2 linked regions of the Drosophila melanogaster genome follow. The protein of the gene in region 1 interacts with the protein of each later gene in a pairwise test. Each region holds a gene or a part of one and is shown in the gene's direction. Other genes may lie near its edges.

What was found.
Region 2: the proteins of Rpn12R (region 1) and Rpn3 interact in a two-hybrid assay, tested with the Drosophila melanogaster proteins (one large-scale study listed by BioGRID).

Annotation. Positions count from the first base shown.
Region 1 is NT_037436.4:15,037,173-15,046,739, reverse strand, and holds Rpn12R (regulatory particle non-ATPase 12-related), read left to right. Parts: upstream 1-4,169; 5' UTR 4,170-4,235; coding exon 4,236-5,024; 3' UTR 5,025-5,109; downstream 5,110-9,567. Other genes in the region: ind (intermediate neuroblasts defective), read left to right, coding at 2,876-3,838.
Region 2 is NT_033779.5:19,049,918-19,060,331, forward strand, and holds Rpn3 (regulatory particle non-ATPase 3), read left to right. Parts: upstream 1-1,872; 5' UTR 1,873-2,136; coding exon 2,137-2,300; intron 2,301-2,361; coding exon 2,362-3,682; 3' UTR 3,683-3,764; downstream 3,765-10,414. Other genes in the region: l(2)37Bb (lethal (2) 37Bb), read right to left, coding at 1-1,117, 1,180-1,581; CG10492 (uncharacterized protein), read left to right, coding at 4,934-5,653, 5,712-6,155, 6,335-7,603; Phlpp (PH domain leucine-rich repeat protein phosphatase), read left to right, coding at 9,730-9,933, 10,048-10,201. UniProt on the Drosophila melanogaster protein: Acts as a regulatory subunit of the 26 proteasome which is involved in the ATP-dependent degradation of ubiquitinated proteins.

The DNA of each region.
Region 1 (9,567 bases):
GATTTCCTAAAAAACTTATCCCACTTTACCTAATACCCAAAAAAGGGTTTATTTTGCCATTTAACTGGGGAATATAAGAGCATCGTGATGTTTTTCTGATATCTAAACGTGTTTATATTTTTTAAATACATCGATATTATTTCTCACAATACCATCATTACCGTATAATTTAATTGCACAAAACCCATCCTATATCGAGTAACCCCAAGCATTTCCCGAGGCCTATTGACTCAGTAACACGCAGAGAAGCCAGACTCAACCTCAAAGCTCATTCGTAAATTATTCAGGGGTAAATAATAATTTTTCTGAGCGAATGCATGGGGCTATATAAAAATGCATGGTCTATAATGAAGTCATATTTGTTAAATCAACAAATATACAAAACAAGAAAGTGGATAAACAAACCCTTGGCTAAGTAGCAACAATGGCAACTAGAACAATCAGTCAAAATGCAAATGTCACAACCAATTAATGTCAATAAATGATTAACCCAATCCGCATTTATAAGGGTTTCGAATACCCACTATGGTGGTGGTTCAGTTTTCAGAATTTTTTTTGAAACACCCCTTTAATGGGCAAATCCGGTTTGATGTTCTCCCCGACTCTGTTAGTTTTGCGTTGTATCCATATCAAAAAATAAGGGGAAGTAAACATTTCGTTATGCTTTCATTTGTTCAGCGTTTAGGCGACTTTTGTTCACAATTAAAATGAAATTGTTCGCTTGAACGAAGCCGATGCTATCTTGGAGATAAGAAAATTTGAATATTTCCAAATCCGAAACATTTGTATTCTTTATAAGCCATAGACGAAGTCTAAGTCAATAGCACGATCCAATTGTGAATAAAAAGGAAACCCGAATCAATCGAGCGTGCAATAATCGCAGACAAAAAACGGAAGTGGCCAATGGAGAAAATCTCAAGTGGCCCAAACAATTGTTAAAAGGCGGTCAAAAGGAGCTCTCGCACGAGACCAACGCAACGCCCAAAGAGCAGAAATTCCAACAAAAATATTAACACAACAGCATCTGCTCCCGATTTCGCTATTGACCAGTGTCCAGATTCCTTTTTGTTTTTTTTTGCACAGCCCGCCAATTAAGCAGAAGCCAAATACTTAAAAACCTTAAAAAGTGGGCGAACATTCGGATCGCCTACGTAGAAGTCGGTCGACAATTAACAATTAACGTCAGCAATTGTGATCGGTTTTATAGCCACTTAACATACGATCAACTGGCAGAAGGGCGACAATGCCGCACCTCGGCACAATGCCATGAAAAGGACAATTATAGGTAAATCCCTAAAGTCAGTTAACAAATGATAAAACTGCCGCCATAATTCTGTGTAATGTAGCCCAAGAACAACATTTCGGCGACGTACTGTCTGGCTTAAATGTCCCGACCTGGCCCAAAATACACACAAACAAAGGCGCAACGTGCGTCGTGTCTTGGATTTGTCAAAGGACCAAACGACTGCATCCATGAATGGGATCGTCCTGAATGGATGATCCTTGCCGCATTGTTCGCCGTAGTTGCACAAGCAGAAGAATGCATCAATAAAATTACGCCAAGGCGAGGACTAGGACTCAAAGAAGAGATACATATACATATACCCAATGTGCTGGAGGGTCTGGTAAACGGGAGTTGTAGAAGTAAAGGTTCGATTCGAGATTTCGGCAGCCACCACTTCGGGCCATAAGTTGCCATGAAATTGGCATTAAACGGTTGGAGGGCTTGCAGTTTTCAATGGTTGTAAAATTAATCGATTCGATTGTGAAGGGTCACTGAAGAGGTTTTCTTGTAATGCAATAAATTACAAACAAGATACTGTGTAAATTTCGTTGGCTATTTAAAAGATCTTCCTATAAAAAGAATTACAATTGCGCTTGCTTGTAAGTAAAAACAGATGGTTATAATATTAATAATTTTTGCAAGAATGCTATGGATGCTATTTGTCTTTTTCTACACAACAAACACTTTAATATAATTTGATTTGTTTACCATAAAAATATAAATAATTCGTTAAAACCTAACAATGATGAAAAAAAGCCAATATGTAAAAGCCTGAAAATGAACGAACTGCTTATAAATACAATATCTGCTCATATGATAATATTGCTTATAATGACTTTTTTGATGCTTCTTCATAACTTAAAGTTTTATGAAGTTGCATTTGTTTATTTTTCAAACATAAGTTACTAGGCAAATTAAAAAAAAATATATATGCAAGCAATATATATGGATTTTCTAATAAAACTATTAATTAAAATTTGTATTTTTAATTAAATACATTTTTAACACTGTCTATAAAATAAGCTGCTTGATGATTTTATTGAAAGTTCGAAATACCAATAATGTAATTTGATCTAGCTTAGGCTGAACTAATTCAGTTCCGTTTAAAAAGCTTTTACGCACTCTCTTCAACTTTCAATTAAACTCGAGTGATAATACGAATTGGAAAGACTGATTCGTTCCACAGGGACACCAATACAGTCCCATCGCACACACCCAAGCCCACACACACACACATACATATGTATGGCAGGATGGCAAAGGAGGGTTCGCCATTGTCCTTTCGCACAGATACAGTGAATCATCGCTTACCTGCCATTTGCGGCATTGTGAGTGATCGAACAAGGGCGGAGCGTAAATGGCAACAGTTGTTGCTAAATGGTGACTAAATGGCCGAACACACTCGCTCAAACAACCCTCGAATTGGCCCTCAGGGGTGTGGAAGTGGCAAACCAACCCCCAGAACAGAGTCTCGAGGTATATAAGAACCGGGTGAGGGCGCAGCAGCCAGACAGTTTCGCACAGTCAGCGATCGTGTTCAGTAGCTCATCTCGAGATCAGTTGGAAAACGAAATACCCCAGAAACCCAAGATGTCGCGTTCATTTTTGATGGATTCCCTACTCAGCGATAGGCCCAATTTGAGCCAGAAGAAGGAGAAACTGGGATCGCCAGGAGGAAGTCCTACAGCCGCTGCTGCAGTGGCCGCAGCTGCCATGTTACCATCGATACCCATGCTTCCTTACCCGGCCAGCTATGTGGGCAGCTATCTCTTCTCCTTGGGCATCCAGCAGCAGCAGCAACAACAGCAGCAGCAGCAACAGCACGCAGCAGCTGCAGCAGCGGCCGCAGCAGCAGCAGCTGCCTTGCAGCAACATCCACATGTCAGTTCGAGTCCCGGTTCCCTTTACCATCCATACGCCCAGCTGTTCGCCAGCAAGAGGAAGTCCAGTGGATTCAGCAACTACGAAGGATGTTATCCATCGCCACCGCTCTCGGCCAATCCCAACTCCCAGCAATTGCCGCCAATACACAACCTCTACGGATCTCCAGTTGTGGGCGGATTACCCTTACCGGAACCTGGAAGCTTCTGCACATCACCGTCCGCTTCATCGTCCGCCTCTTTGGATTATACCAATAACTTTGATGAACCTCAAGGAAAGCGTTTCAAGCACGAGTCCTCCTGCTCTCCGAATAGCTCACCACTGAAGAACCACTCTTCGGGAGGTCCCGTCGAGATCACGCCGCTGATCAACGATTATGCCGATTCCAGCAAAAGGATCCGCACTGCCTTCACCAGCACCCAGTTGCTGGAGCTCGAGCGAGAATTCTCGCACAACGCCTACCTATCCCGCCTACGTCGCATCGAAATCGCCAATAGATTGCGCCTTTCCGAGAAGCAGGTGAAGATCTGGTTCCAGAATCGCCGAGTCAAGCAGAAAAAGGGCGGCTCCGAAAGTCCCACCTTCAATCTGTCCACCAACTCCAATGGAAGTCCGCAAGCATCTCCAGTGTCTCCCCAAGTCAAAGTCCACGAATTGAAGGTTGAGGCGTAGAATCAATCACCTATTAAACCATAAGAATAATGTAATTGTACAGTAGATTTTAGTCTGTTTTCAGTCATAAGTATGTTAAAGTAAATAAATTTTAATCAAAATGAAAAACGACGTTTTTGGGATAGATAAACCATAATAGAAAGCAATGATTTATTTATGCAAAGTGGGTTCACATCTAGCAGCTAAGTTGGCCCAAGATGGCTTTACTAAAAAATACTAAATAATTTTAAATTACGAACCAATTAAATGAATATAATAAATATATAGCAGCCCTGGAATATCCCTAAAAATACCAAACGCTAGTGTCGATATTTCGTTCCAAATTTGTGCTGTCAATCAAAACGAACAAAATTTTCATTCCCAAAAATTTAGTCGTTGTCGAGACTTTGCTGTAATCATGTCGAATCTGTACACCGAATTGAAGAACGAGTGGAGCAAACATGCGCCCAACCTCACCCACTGCTCCCGCCTCCTGGATGGCTTCAAACTGGAGCTGGTGAGGTCAAACTTTGGAACAATCCAAACTGCATCGAGTTCCAAGCAAAAGGATCAGCTAATCAAATCGCGGGAGATGCTGGAAATCGCCGTGGAACATAGCATCACCATCAAGGATTATGCTGCCTTCGAGAGATATATGGCCCAGTTAAATACCTACTACTATGATTACGATAAGTACTTGGAATCATCGAAGCACATGTACAAGTTCATGGGCCTAAATCTGCTCTATATGTTGGCTACCAATCGCCTTGCCGACTTCCACATCGAACTGGAACGTTTGCCGACGGCTTTGCTGCTCCATGATAGCTTCATCCAACCCGTTTTGGCTTTGGAGAACTACTACATGGAGGGCAGATACAACAAGATACTGCAAGCCAAGAAATCTATGCCCTCGGAGATCTATTCGAATTTTATGGACATCCTGGTGAACACGGCGCGTGAGGAGATCGCATCCTGCATGGAGAAATCCTATCTGAAGATGGCGCCCAAACTAGCTGCTCAGCGTTTAGGCCTTCGTCCCGGTTCCAAGGAGCTTTTCGAGCTGGCCACTAAGCGCCAGTGGTGTCTGGACGAGGAGGGGAACTACGACTATGCTGGACTTCATACCAGACCTATGGAGAAGGTTCCTGCCAAGGACATCGCCACGCATAATCTCACCTATGCCCAAGAGCTAGAGAAAATAGTTTGAATTTTCTCATTAGATCAATTCTTGCTTCTAATCCCCTCAACCGGAAAATAATATCCAGAATTTATACATTCGTCCAAAAATCAGTAAATAGCGAACCGGAAATTTGTCAGATTTAATTTTTCACACATCTCAATGGCTTCACTCGTTTATTTTTTGGCATAAAATGTGCAAAAATTGAGTTGCTCAGAGGGCCGCTAAGTCGACAGGCTTGACAAATTATGCGATTGGGAATGTTTTCCGGCGAAATCTCATTTGCAAATCTTTCATAGGATGATTGTTAGAGCTGCTTAGTGAGTGGCAGTCTAATATGATGGTTGTTAGGATAAGGATATGTGTTTCATAGGAAGGTAGTTAGGCCTAAAAATTTTTGTTCCCAAGGGATTTTAGGGTTCCTTTTGGGAAAAATAATCTATAAAATCACAGCTTTTAATATGTTCTTTTTGATGAAATTAAAGTATTTAATAAGTATTTAATTTTACAATTTTGTTTGGAATGTTATCGAAGTTAGGTATACAGAATGAAACCATTTATTAATTAGTTTCGCCAGAACATTGAATATATCCCCAGGCGAAATGTGTGGTCTGCCACCTATAAAGAACCGCAAATGATGACACCTCATCATTTTTGCTGAATCATCAAAACTTATAATTAATCAAGGACATTTTTCGCCTCTGGAGTGGGGAGAGTTTTTATCCATTTCCCACGACACTTCAAATTGCACAAACCGATGATGCCAACTTGGCCGATGCCTATCAGCCGAGATATGGCAGTGATTTGCCCAAAATCGAGATGGTTGACAAACCCAAAACGAATCATGCGCAACAAAACCAGACGGAGCCGACTCATTCAGCATTCATTGAACGGCGGACTGACAATTTCTCAATGGGTCCTCTAACTTGGAACCGAAACGAGGACTAACTCATCCTTTTGTGCGATCCCAAGGGGTGCGGTGCTAATAAACGCAATTGCACCTACGCCCCTCTGGGCCTTCGGTCCGAAAATGGAAATCGGAATGCCAATGGGCAAAATAGCCCAGTCGGCGGTTTTAAACGGAATTTCGGTATTCCATTCTCCTTGCTATTCTGGAAAATGTTGCACTCCGATTTACCTGATCTCATCCCGATCGTTATCTACCGGAGTTCCTTGCTCAAGTGTGCGCCTCTTCCACTTGAGCTGAAGAGCTCGGCTCTTGAGTTTCAAGTGCTGGGTCAGCAGGTAGGACTCGGTGACTCCATTCAGGATCAGCTATTTTTCCGCAAATTCATTCAAGGAGCGTAGCGAAATCTGTTGTGCCAAAATGTGTTGCGTGGGCTCTTCGATCTTTATCGCTAGGTTGATTTAAAGTGATTTTTTCAAAATCACAGATAGCATTCGCTACTATTCGAGTAAATGCTGAGACAGCATTTTGGAGACATGGGAACTAAGTTAATTGGTTGTAAGATTAGGCAAGGAAATACTCGATTGGCGGCACTGTCAATAAGAAACAATGTTTCGGTGTTTCAATTAAAGAAAAGTATAAAAAGGCAGTATTAACAAAGTATGTAGATTCTATTAGTATTAGTGGATTCTACAATTCTAATAGTACTGTTTTCATTGTGTAGGAAAGTATCTATATATATATATATTTGCAGTTATTTTATTTCATTTAGCCAATATTGTCTTAACTTAAAACTTTATTAACACGGTATTAACACGGTAGTGTTAACCCCTAAAAATTATTTCAATGCTGTGACTGTTTCCAAAAATTGTTTCCGTAAACAAATTTGCATACACCTCTTCTCCGTAGGATCCACTGTTGGAAGTACCTTTAGCCAGATGTCTTGCCAACTTTCGAGTGTCCCGCTGATTTCAAGATTCCTCGCTGTTTCGATCTCCCGCGTGGAAGACACTTCATGAATGAATACATCCTGAAGTGCAGAACCTCTTCAGTTTAAAGTGGAATCTTTCTTTTTGAATTGGCCTCATGAATGAATGCGCTGCACTGCCTGTGCATCAAGGCTGGGAAATTCCCTCAGGTTCTTTGGGCCTGTTAAAAGATCATTAGGCCAACGCTTCTGGCTAGAACAAATGAAATTCCGTTGAAAATTTCCCGCCTACCTGAAAGTAGAAGAAGAAATTTGTCAGGTGTTCAACTCTGGATTCTTGTCCAGACGTTCTGTCGCCAGGGCATATAAGTCCTTAAATTCCCTGTGGTGCAACGGTTGTGGTCTCAAGTGTTTAATTTAAATATTTTTCAATTTCTGTCCTGATGGAATTCTAAATCCAAATTCCAAACCAGGAAAATTCCCTTAAAGCTTTGAACGCTTTTCCTACAAAGCTTTCAGCACTTTCCACATTTAACTTTTTCAGATTATTAAGTTTGGATTATAACAAAACGTTTCCCGGAGCTTTGAAGCTTTTGAAGCTTTATTGGGGGACTCCTTTCAACACAATTTCAGGGTTAAACATTTGGGGGCCATTGGGTTTTCATGAGGAGGACAATAAAACAACTGCAGACTGAGGTAAATCTAAGCTCGCCGTCCAAAATCCTTTAAGCTTATGCAAATTAAAGCGTGCACCCAAAATAAATAAATTAACCTATATGCCAACGTGTTTGTATGTAGTCTGTGTGATTTTCTTGTTTGGTGGTCAAGCAAAGGTAAACATGAGTCCAAATGAGTTTTCACTTTTCCACATAATTGCGTTTTTTACTTTCTTCTTTTTAATTATGAGTCTCAGCGAAAAGGCTTCCGGTATCCTTGTTTTGACCTAGATTAAGCACATATTAATGGCAAATTTACCCTTAGAATCCTAGTAAAAACTGTCGATGTTCTCGGGTCACGCAATCGAGGTCTTTTCCCGTATACGCCGCGATATGTGGAACCAGCTAATTGACCCATTAAAGTGGCCGCTGAACATTGTTGCCCCTTTGAGTGCTTTTTAGGTCACAGGATGTGTGAAGCCGTAAAGTTGTCCGCACTTAAAGCGGTTATTTAAGCCCGTGAAGAAAATGAACCATTAACCATAAATTGTTTAATTACAATACAATTGTCTACATATATTACATATCCACTACTTCGATTAAACGAAAAAATAAGTTCGATTCGAGGTAAACAAGCCCCAGTTTTCAACTTACCATTTTATTAAAGTTTTCTAATTGTTTCGGAACTAAGTGTGCACTAGTTCAGTAATTTCCAAAGAATGCTAGTTTCCAATAATTATGTCGCCATAAAGATTTCAATTTGCAAAGCATCCCACAGTTTCTATCAGCTACCGGGGGAGCTATCTTCACCTCCCCGTAATCGGTGGCCCTCGAAGGATATCTGGTGCCAGCACGTCATCGTCCTTGGCCACACTGTGCATTGTATTTAATGAACTTGTTGGTAATCGTACTGGGCTCATCATCAGCACGTTGACTCGACCGGGAATACGACCTGGGTTCTGGGCTGTGGGATCTGTGTTCCAGGGGTCTGGAGCGGAACGATGGAGCAATTTCTGTGGCGCCCCACAGTCGTTGAGTGGCGCCTGTTTAAAATGAGTTTTGTCGCTTCGTTATGCAACTGACGACATACTAGGCATTGAAGAAAAACACACTTGGAAAAAAACGTTTTCAAAGAGAAAATTATAAGCAATAAATTTTTTAGGATATTTCACAAATATTTTGATTTTAGTAATTCTTTTCTTAGTATCCGCTTTAGTTGTCAAAGCTTTAAGTGATCTTAAAAAGTGTTTCGTGTTTTTTACAATATTTCATAATTTTAAATATCTTAAAATAATATTCATTGGTGAATAAAGAAAGTCAGATTTTTCTCAGTGATTAAGACACGAAAGCAAGACGTAAACATACGCTCAGGACTACTATCTGCTCAGGACGATGTAATTATGATTGTAGCATATGCCAGGAGGCGCCTACACACTGTGAGGACAATGTCCTTTTCCTCGGTCCCAAAAGCAACCCGATGGCCAAGTGAAATTTACATATGGAAAGGAATCAAGAGAAATACATATATGTGGATGTGTTTATGTGCGTATAGATTACAAGTGAAACTGAATTTATTGCCAGCATACGCATTGAGTGGCACGTGTTCGGATTTCAATTATATAAAAAGCTTAAAACACACACACATTCTTATGGCTTATAGCGAATGGCTTACAAGCCGAGGTACCAATTTTTTATACACATATATTTATCTGAGTCTAAAAACCAAGGTAGTATTAAAGCATTTAAATTTGTGATAGACACAACTCTCGACCCAACAAAATCAAAACAAAGAACAAAGTTCACACACCCGAAATGAAAATGGCCTAAAAGTGAATGAACTGCTGTCGGAAAATTGGTAAATGGCTTGTCTAAGCCTAGCGCACTAGAAACGAGGTGATAAAGAACAAAAACATGCCTTCCTTCGCTGGCTTATCTTTAAGATTAAAGCCAGAATAATGTATTTGTTGCGATGGAGTGGTGGCGATGGGGTATAAATGCGAAACCCTTGGAGAAAAACATCTGCCGAAGCGCAACAGAAAGCCTAAATTCACTCAAAAAATACGACAAAAATAACGAAGACGA
Region 2 (10,414 bases), on another chromosome or scaffold:
TAGGTTGGTCAACAATCAGCCGGTCGAAGCTCAGACGAGAGAGGTCGATGGTTCTGAACTGACCATCCATGATCAGCTCGGATATGGCTCGGCCCACGGCCAGAGATTGCTGTACTCCGTGTCCGCTAAAACCGGTGGCTAGGTACAGATTGTTGTAGTACGGGTGAGCTCCTAAAATGCCGTTCTCGTCGTATACGTTATGATCATAGCAGCCCGCCCAGCTATCCACCACTTGGGCTTCTCCAAGAACGGGAATTCTATTATACAAATGGGGTCTGATGTGCTGGGCGAAATATTGCGGATCAATCATCGCGCTATTATACTCTTCCGTCGAATCTTGCACGCAAATATAGTTGCCGCCCAGGCCATCTCTGCGAATAAAGATGCCCGACGGATCTATTGTCATGGGCATATTCATTCCGGGTGCACTTTGGGCCTGCGAGTTGATGGCGTACATGTATCGCTTGCGTGCGTTGATGGGCAGCGGAACCCGAAGTATTCCTGGACCCACGCCTATCCTTGCTAATCGCGCGATTTGTTCGGAACTAGCACCGGCGCTTATTACACACAGGGCGAACTTGCAAGTGCGTCGCGTACCATCGGGCAGTTGGATGACCGCTTTTTCCAAGCCCGTGTAGGCACCCTCGTTGGAACCAAGATCTGTGACAACAGAAATGTCCGTTTGGGATTTGAACTCGAAGTCGACCACCTGGCCACTGATAAAATGGGCGCCGTAGCCACTGGCTGACCGTCGGAAATTGCTCAGAAGTGCCAACGGATTAAACCAGCCCTCTTTTTCCAGACCAAGACAGCCCAAAGCGATGCCCTTGGTGTTTAGCCAGGGGAATCTGGCAGTCAGTCGATCTGCAGTGAGAAGTTCATTTCGGGCACCCAGTTCGTTTTGTAGCTGAGAGGAGCGCTTCAGGCTTTCCGCGTGCTCCTCGCCAGCGAGCATCAGATGGCCATGGGGCGTAAACTGGAGAGGCACTTCCTCGCCAAAGTGTTTTCTTGCGCTTCGCAGGAAGTCTGCGGCAAATAGTGACATTTGGATGTTTTCGGGCAGGGAGAATTGCTGACAAAGACCGCCCACCGAAACACGCGTGGCTGACTGGGCATACTAGAAATATGTGGAAGGCAAATTAAATATTCGGGGTAGACTGGTACACATCATTTTACTACCGTGTCATCCTTCTCGACCACCACAACGTTAAGACCGTCGCGGGCCTTCTCCTTCAGCCAATAGGCGATGGAGCTGCCCACTCCACCGCCGCCAATGATGAGCACATCGCAATGGGTCTGGAAGTCATCCGGCACAGTGGCTTCCTTGCTCTTGTCGCGCTCCCCTGAAAAGTGAAACTGGCTCTGTGTCGGAATGGGAACTTTCTCGGTCTCCGGTTCCTTTGGTACAAAGAACTCCTTAACTTTGCGCATATCGTTCCCGAGCAAACGGAGTGTTCGTCGTATGGGGTGCAGGTCTTCGCCGGATTTGTCGCCCCCGGAAGATCCACTTCCATTGCTCGTTGCTCCGGCCGAGAAATTACGGCGCTGAAGGAGACCCACCACTTGTCTGTACCGCAACATTTTATTCTCTTTAATTTTAATTTAATTCATATTCCGTATTAATTTTTTATTTTGTGTTATTTTGTAATAGTAATAACGTGCGATGTTATCGGAGTATCGATATCGAAAAGGCTTAACGGAATTGTGGTAATGTTTTATTGCAATTTAAATAAAAATACGCTTTTACTGAGTGCGTAACTTAAGAAAAGGCTTAACGGAATTGTGGTAATGTTTTATTGCAATTTAAATAAAAATACGCTTTTACTGAGTGCGTAACTTAAGAAATTCCTAACCCAAATTAAAGCAATAGATACATTTACTGTAAAACATTAAAAATAAATTCCTATAACATATGAGACTGAAAGTTCGCTCAGTGTACCGTAAAACGTATCGATAAATTGAAACGTAACGGCTTAACAGCTCTGTTAACCAACTAAATTTACCAGCACTGCCTGTAGCCGAAAACGAATAAGAAGAAGAAGCGACATTACTAGGCATTTTTGATTGGGATTGAGAAAAACAAAAGAAAAGTCGGCTATATTTGTGACCCCAGTAAATTGAGAGTTCCATTACAAAATGACCAACGCAACGGACATCGGTGCTAACGACGTGGAGATGGAGGTGGATCCAACGGCGGAGACGCTGGCTGACGAGAAGAAGAACCAAGATGTGGCCGCCGTGCAGGAGATCCGCGAGCAGATTCGTCAGATTGAGAAGGGGGTAGCCTCGAAAGAGTCGCGGTGAGTAGTGCAAGAATTAAAATCTTGTCCCTTCCTTATTATGGCTCATTTCCGCCAACAGCTTCATCCTGCGCGTCCTTCGCAATTTGCCCAACACTCGTCGCAAGCTGAACGGCGTCGTCTTCCGGAATCTTGCACAGAGTATTTACCCCGCTGGTGCAGATCGTGAGGCGGCCGTGGCTTTGATGCCCGCTGTGGAGAAAGACGCCACCGAGCTGCCCGATGTTCCCAAAAAACAAGTTGCCACCAAGGCTCCAATCGCCGAGGTCGATGCCTACTTCTACCTGCTCCTGCTGGTCAAGCTCATCGACGCCAGTGATTTAAAGCGGGCCGGAATTAGCGCCGACGCCCTAATGGCCAAAATCTCCATCCAAAACCGACGCACCCTTGATCTGATTGGTGCCAAGTCCTACTTCTATTTTTCAAGAGTGGCGGAGCTAAAAAACTCACTGGAAGGCATACGCTCGTTCCTGCACGCTCGTCTGCGCACCGCTACGCTGCGTAATGATTTTGAAGGCCAGGCGGTGCTTATTAACTGTTTGCTCCGCAACTACTTGCACTATGCTTTGTACGACCAAGCCGACAAGCTGGTAAAGAAATCCGTCTACCCGGAATCGGCCAGCAACAATGAATGGGCGCGTTTCCTGTACTATCTAGGTCGGATTAAGGCCGCTAAGCTGGAGTACAGCGATGCCCACAAGCATCTGGTCCAGGCCCTGCGTAAGTCGCCGCAGCACGCTGCCATCGGCTTTCGTCAGACGGTTCAAAAGCTAATTATCGTTGTGGAGCTGCTTTTGGGCAACATCCCGGAGCGTGTGGTGTTCCGGCAAGCCGGTCTTCGCCAATCTCTTGGTGCCTACTTCCAGCTCACGCAGGCCGTGCGTCTGGGCAACTTGAAGCGCTTCGGCGACGTGGTATCCCAATACGGACCCAAGTTCCAACTGGACCACACATTCACCCTGATTATCCGGCTGCGCCACAATGTGATCAAGACGGCAATCCGCTCCATCGGACTATCGTACTCACGCATCTCGCCGCAAGACATTGCCAAGCGGCTAATGCTAGACTCCGCGGAGGATGCCGAGTTTATTGTATCGAAGGCTATACGGGACGGCGTGATTGAGGCTACGTTGGACCCAGCCCAGAATTTCATGCGCAGCAAGGAAAGTACGGACATCTACAGCACCCGGGAACCGCAGCTGGCCTTTCACGAGCGCATCTCGTTCTGCCTGAACCTGCACAACCAGAGCGTTAAGGCCATGCGCTATCCCCCAAAGTCCTACGGCAAGGATTTGGAGAGCGCCGAGGAGAGACGCGAGCGGGAGCAGCAGGACCTTGAGCTGGCCAAGGAGATGGCCGAGGATGATGAGGATGGTTTCTAAGCGGCTGATTCTGCAAATTAATTTGTGCTTGCATTCATTTTTATAGAAATATAATCCGCAATTAAATAAGTTACAATAATTTCGGAACTTTTTTAATTAGGTATTGGAAATCAAAAATAGTTCAGAACTGATCTTTCTTTTTATTCAAGCAAAAAGTTGTATGTTGTTGTTGGTAGACAATCAAAAATTTCAATTCGGTTAGAAATGGAAAAACATTTTAAAAATGTCACTCTTCTGGCAGCCTTGGCGCGTTAATTTAAAACGAAGTCTGGCAACATAGATTCATATTCTTCTTTAGATCTTTTCCCTCCAAAGCTATTTTATTAAAGATCCCTTAAGTACATTGGCAGGACTTTTCTCTGATTGATAGAGGTAATTTATGATATGTAAATTATAGATGGAAAAGATGCAAATATTATTTCAATTACTTTAAACACGACCTTCCACAAAAAGCACACTTTTTCTGACGAAGGTTTTGGTCGGCAGTATTAACGGTCACACTGGCGCAAACAACACAAACAGCAGCCACGGTCACACAAATCAAAGTGGAAAAAATTTTTAGACAAAAAGGTGCACACAATGCAAATTAATTAAAGGCCGTGCGTATTAAATGCCCTAATACGCGATCCTACGTACTGTATTTTGCTGCCGAAAAGTGCAACGCGCGCCTATCGGGGAGTTTCGCGGAAATTGCTGGGTTTTTTGTGACAGCGGCGAGTAGTCTCCTCCGAATAACAGCGGCCGAACAGCGAGCGTTTTGCGAAGCAGCGAGTGCCTGGCCAATGTGGTGCAGCCCCCCGCCACCCGCCGCCCGCGCACCCCCTACCCCGCTAACGCGCAAAATATACGCGACTAGTTGTAGTTGTGGGCAGCAGAGCAGCAGGAAAAGCAGCAGCAGCCGATCAGCTCTGCCTTTGTGAGCGGATTAGTGGCGAAGAAGCCAGCGAAAAGCCAATTAACAGTGCCCCGGGAAGCTGGGCCGGTGTCCACGAGCGGATCTCAGCCAGCCTTCGACAATTCCGGCTGTGATGCAGCAGCTGCTGCTGCCACCTAACGAGATTCTGGACGCCTTTTGCACCCACCACACGTAACTAGAGCACTCACACTGACGCGAGCACACACACACACTCACACACATTCGGAGACGGGCCAACTGGCGAACGGGCACACTATTAGGTGGCCATTGATGCAGTGCAGCCGCTTGCAGGGATTCGGGATCGGTAGGTGAAAAGGACTGGGACAAGCGTGGAGATGATTTGCAAACAGGACGTTCTGCAGTGGTTTGAGAAACTCGAGAGCTACAATCGGATCGAAACGATGTACGCCCTGCTCACCGCCTGCCTGCCATTCGAGCTGCGATTTTTGGGCACGCTCCTCGAGGAGCAGGGCCGTTGCGACTCGGAGACGCTGCGAGGCATGGAGCTGCGGGCGAATAACCCGCACGAGCTGGCCGCCGACATGGTGAACTGCCAGAAGGGCGATCCCACCGACCGGAAGATCCGGCGCAAGATGGCCCTGTATCTGGCGCTTATCCGTGCCTGCAATCGGAACTGCGTCAGTGAGATCTACCGCACGCTGGAATGCTGGGGCGAGTGCGATTTCAGTTGCATTAATGATCAGGACACGCTGTTGGAGCTGCTGCTGGTCTACACGATGGCAGCCATCCACCCGGTGTTCTCCATGGAGGAGCAAAAGAAGATTTTCGGCATTCTGGCTAAGATCAAGGAGAACAAGTTGGTAGCAGAGCGATTCGCGCCTCAAATGCAAAGACAGACACAGACGCCAGTGCTCCAGCATCCTCACCCGCCGTCCCCACATGACCTGGTCATTCAGCAGCAGCCACCACACGTGATCCACCAAATACCAGGACCGCAGCAGGCGCCCCCGCACCCGCAACATCCTCAAATGGTGCAGGTACTGCAGACGCCGCAGGGCAACATACCCATGATCTTTCCCCAGCACTTTCAAAAGGTAAATCTTTAAATAGAAAACCACTAAAAGTTTATTAACTTAATCTGTTCATCTACAGCTTCTGCCCAGCTCTGATGGAACGCACCAGATCAGTGTCGATGGCATGCCGCACCTGATGCAGCCTAACATCACCATTCCAGCGGACACTAGTGCCATCATCAGTCACCAGAACACGGGATGGACGATGCGTCACTACGTGCCACAACCGCCCCACCAACAGCCCGCTCTGCAGCAACAGCAGCCGCAGAGTCTGGACCATCAAGTGCCACCTGCCAGCTCGCCGATGCTGAGTCAGCAATCCTCGCCATCGAGTAGTCGCACCACGAGTCCTCAGCGGGACCGCTCCCTTATTAACGTTCCACTGCAGGCGCAGCAGCAACCACATCAGCAGCAGCAGATGAGGGGCATGTCCCAGCGAATGGCGGATCAGAAGAACACGCGGCGTCCCTCGGCGGAGACTACCCCGCCGCCAACCTCAATTGGCGGCGAGCAGCAGCACGATGTAATTATTAAACAACTAAATAATTTGTTTATTTATTTGAAGCAAACTCAAGATTTAAATTTAAAGGAAATTAACTAATATCAGCATTAGCATCCATTGTTTAGCTCGGCAATATTTAGTAGTCTCCATATAATCACCATAATCATATCGCTTATACGACAAATAACTTACCTTTACAGAGTGTCAACGAAGGCGGAAGCAGTAATTCCAGCGGAACCAGTCTGCACAGACTCATCCGCAACGGTTTTCCGCGTCTAGGACACAATCATCGAGTCAAGGCAAATACCTTCATACCACAGCACCAGCAACAACAGCAGCAGCATCACTTTCAGAACCCCAACTACAACATGAACGTTATGATGCAGAGTATGAATATAAACGACGATGGCAGTGGATCGATGATGAATTCCATGAACTCCACCAAAAGTGCAGCTACCACGGGTAGTGAATCGGGCAGCTCGAATGGATCCTGTGGTGACCTGTCGCCCTCTGAGACGCCAACGCCCACGCAGCTCTCACTGCCACTGCACAATTCGGTGGATGCGGGAATGGGCATGATCACGACAGTACTGCCCACCGGTCTGGGAAACTATCAGCCGAAGCCACACCACTTCAGCTACAAGCAGCAGCAGCAGCAAATGAATCTGCAGCAGCGGCTAAACGGACGCAATGGGATGGATAAGACCTATCAGCAGGTTTACACAACGGGCACGCCAAGCATCGTCAGCGATGCACAGACCATCAGCAGCGCCAGCCTGCAGCAGCAGCAGCCCCAGACCCTTCTCATCAGCCAGTCTCCGGTGAGCACACCCACGACAACGGTGCTCCTGCAGCCGCAACAACCGCCGCCCACAACCTACAACACAAGCTATCCATATCACCAGCGAGGACCCCCGCCGCCACAGCAGACGATATTCCAAGCGCATAGTGCGCCGCCTCCCCAGACGGTGCGTGGTGGCTTCCGTTATCCGATGGGTCCGCCACACAACGGTGAGCTTATTTACCCGACCTTCCACACCAGCCTGGCCTTCCTGCCAATGACAGCGGGAGGAACTCCTACCGCGGTAACGCCTGCCCAGCTCCAAAGCACAGCGGCCGTGGTCAGTACGAACGCGGTGAGCGTGCAGACGGTGCCGACGCCACAGCAGCAGCAAGTCCCCAGCACGACGCCGTACAGTGCCCTCACTGTCTGCCCCATCACGGGAGCGGGTGGTGGCGGAACCGCGCCGAAAGTGATCTCCTGCTACAACTGTGGATCGCAGACGCACAGCGGGCGAGAATGCCAGGAGGCGTCGATGGAGGATGTGACTCGAAGCGCTAGCTACAAACTGGACTACTCCGAGACGAGCATGGACTCAAGCGCCACGGGCGATCACCACAAGGACGTGGGCAGTGTGCAGATCAACTCAACGGCGACTGCGGGGACGGTGACCAGTACGGTGAAATAATACGGAGGGACCGTATATTAACGTACATATATGGAAATATTATTACTGCTATATTAATGATTATGCATAATCCTTACCTACTTATACGAATTACCATTTATTATGATTGTGTAGTGCGGAAATCAAATTTCTCGCCTTTGCCACGTCTCTTAGTTCCGTAAGCCTCTCAATTCGCGTTAATTCAATTCGAGGATCGGCAGGCGGCTGCGGTTGCGGCTAAGTCTTGACAACCCTTATCCGTAAATAAGAATGATTTAGGTGCGCCCTGCCATGCCCTGCCCTGCCACGCCCCTCCCACACACATAGTCGATAACGAATTTTAGTCATATGCCACTCTTAATATTTCTAACGTTAAGTTGAATGTACAACAGCAATAAGTAATAATCCTAATCCGCGTTCTGCGCTCCGCGTTTCCGTAAACTCACTCAACGGGCAGATATGTTACAAATGCCACGATCGAATTAAGCTAAAGAACCATTACGTAAGCCATTACGCGACCACGACGGGGGGCGTAACCATACCGTAACCTAACGTAACGAAACGGAATGAAACGAAACTGGGAGAGGGGATTGGAGTTGCCCAGGAAAACAGAACACACGTAGCATACGGATTAACTAGCAAATATATTAAAATTGATTATGTGTATAAACAAACGAGTGTAGCAGCACAGTGTGCATAGTTAACCGACTTCTGATTCCAACCGAGCCCTCTGATCTACTAACACCCTGTACTCTAGTTACTCCGCCATCTATTTATTTGCTGCTCCTTTGTTTAAACATGTATTTTTAGCAATGTTTTTTTTGTACTTTATATAAATACCAACATACTTATATACACACATATATATATATATATTACATTATATATATATATATTATTTTAAAGCAAACAATCGTATATGATACACTCTTATGTGGATAGGGCGTACGTTACTGCTAAGCACTCTGTCTAATGATTATTTTATGTACTCACAACTTGAACCCCGATGGGCAACTGTATATGAACTGTGTATGAACTGGTCAAGTTAGAGAAATAACCGTTAAGGTCACGCCAAAACCGCCCACGGTTGACCACAAAATACAATTGCCTGCCCTTAGTTTCTTATGTATAGACGTTGTTAAAATTTTGTAAAGTCAGCAGACGAACTGCAAGGTAATGAAAATAGAAGCAAATGATTTACATGAAATACACACTCTTCTGAGTTTGCTGCTAATGCGTAGGCATGACAAACAATTATTATATTTCATTGAAATAATAAAAACAAATTGTTTCTAAAATTCGAGTAACAAACACAAAGCTACAAGTCGAACTGTTTTACTCAGCTCCTGCACTTTGCCTTTTTATGTTTTCCTTTGATCTTCGACATTACCTCTTTCCAACAGGTGGCCATTTAAGAGAGCCCCTCGTGCTCTTTGATCGGATTGCTGAAACTCACCCTCTTTTCAATGACCAAGTCTTCTCTAGGCTTTAAAAGACTGCTGTACAGTGGGTGCTGTATAGCGCGAATGGAATATTTAATATTACAACTTTAAACTTTAAAGATCATATCCATTATTCATGGGGGAGTACATTTAAAAAAACTACAATTTAAATTGAAACTTTGTAATATCGCATATATTACTTTACTTTTAAAACTTACGAACTTTAAATTCACACAGAAAGGGTACCACTGTACTTCCACGTCTCGAGTGCAACTCGGATTTGGGCAATACGACAAGAAACCGAAAGACCGAGGATCCCTCAAGCGTGTCCGTCTTTCAGTAACGGCCCAGAGTCATCATAGCCGTAGTTATCGTGTTCGTCTTCAGTTGAGCGGTCGCTTTTATCGGGTGCGGATATCATATAGTAACATGTAGGAGTATTACCAAATTCAGACAGTTGCCTATTGCCACATCTCGGCAAGTCCCCTTTAAAGAACTAATAAGTGCAGGCAAAAGGTGATATGAATTAGTGACCGAGTGCAGTTAGGTTTTAGAAATAACAGTGTAGTGGATTATTACCCCACTAAAACAAATGAAATCCGCTGCGATCGCCACTCGATGGGTGTTCGTTGATGCATAGCGAAGTTGGAGTCTTTGCCAAGAGCTCGAAGTGAAATAAAAGAAACCCCCAAGAGGGCCGGAACAATGCTCAAAGCCACGAGGAAGCAAGCGGATCCGTACAAATCGAAGCTGAAAGTTAGTGCCAGCCACAGTGGACCGCATCCACTGCCCGTCGAGGTGACGGCGGCAGAGGAGGAGCAGGCCGCCACTTTTGGCCAGACATCCCCCCAGAAGCTCAGCCTGAAGGGCAGCCAACTGGGCGGCAGCATTTTGATTGGCAACTACAATGTGAGTTGACTCCACTCCGGCTGTCGGTATCCGACATCCGGCTTCCGGTACTCCATATCCGGCTGGCATGCCTGTACATCTTCCCCAATCGCCGTTTTCTCTTTTCGTCCGCAGTATTTGACCCAGCTGGAGGTATGCGAAAACGAAATGGAGGTCTTGGATCTCAGTTCGCTCGCTCAACTGGAGACGCTGAAGTGCAGCCGGAACAAGCTGATGGAACTGATCATAAATGGCACCAATTTGCAGACACTTGTCGCCGACCATAATTGTAAGGGGTTCTTATTGAATGTATTCCACATTCTGCATTTAAATCTTAAATAAAAACTTTATCTGTGGCGCCTACGTCTCTATAATCTATTGCTTAATCTTAATCTTTAAGCTTATATTGTAGAAGAAGTAGCGTTTATACGGACGGACGGAAATTGATCCTGAACTTTATAGGGTCTATTATTCTATTAAACTCTCATACTCTATGCGTAAT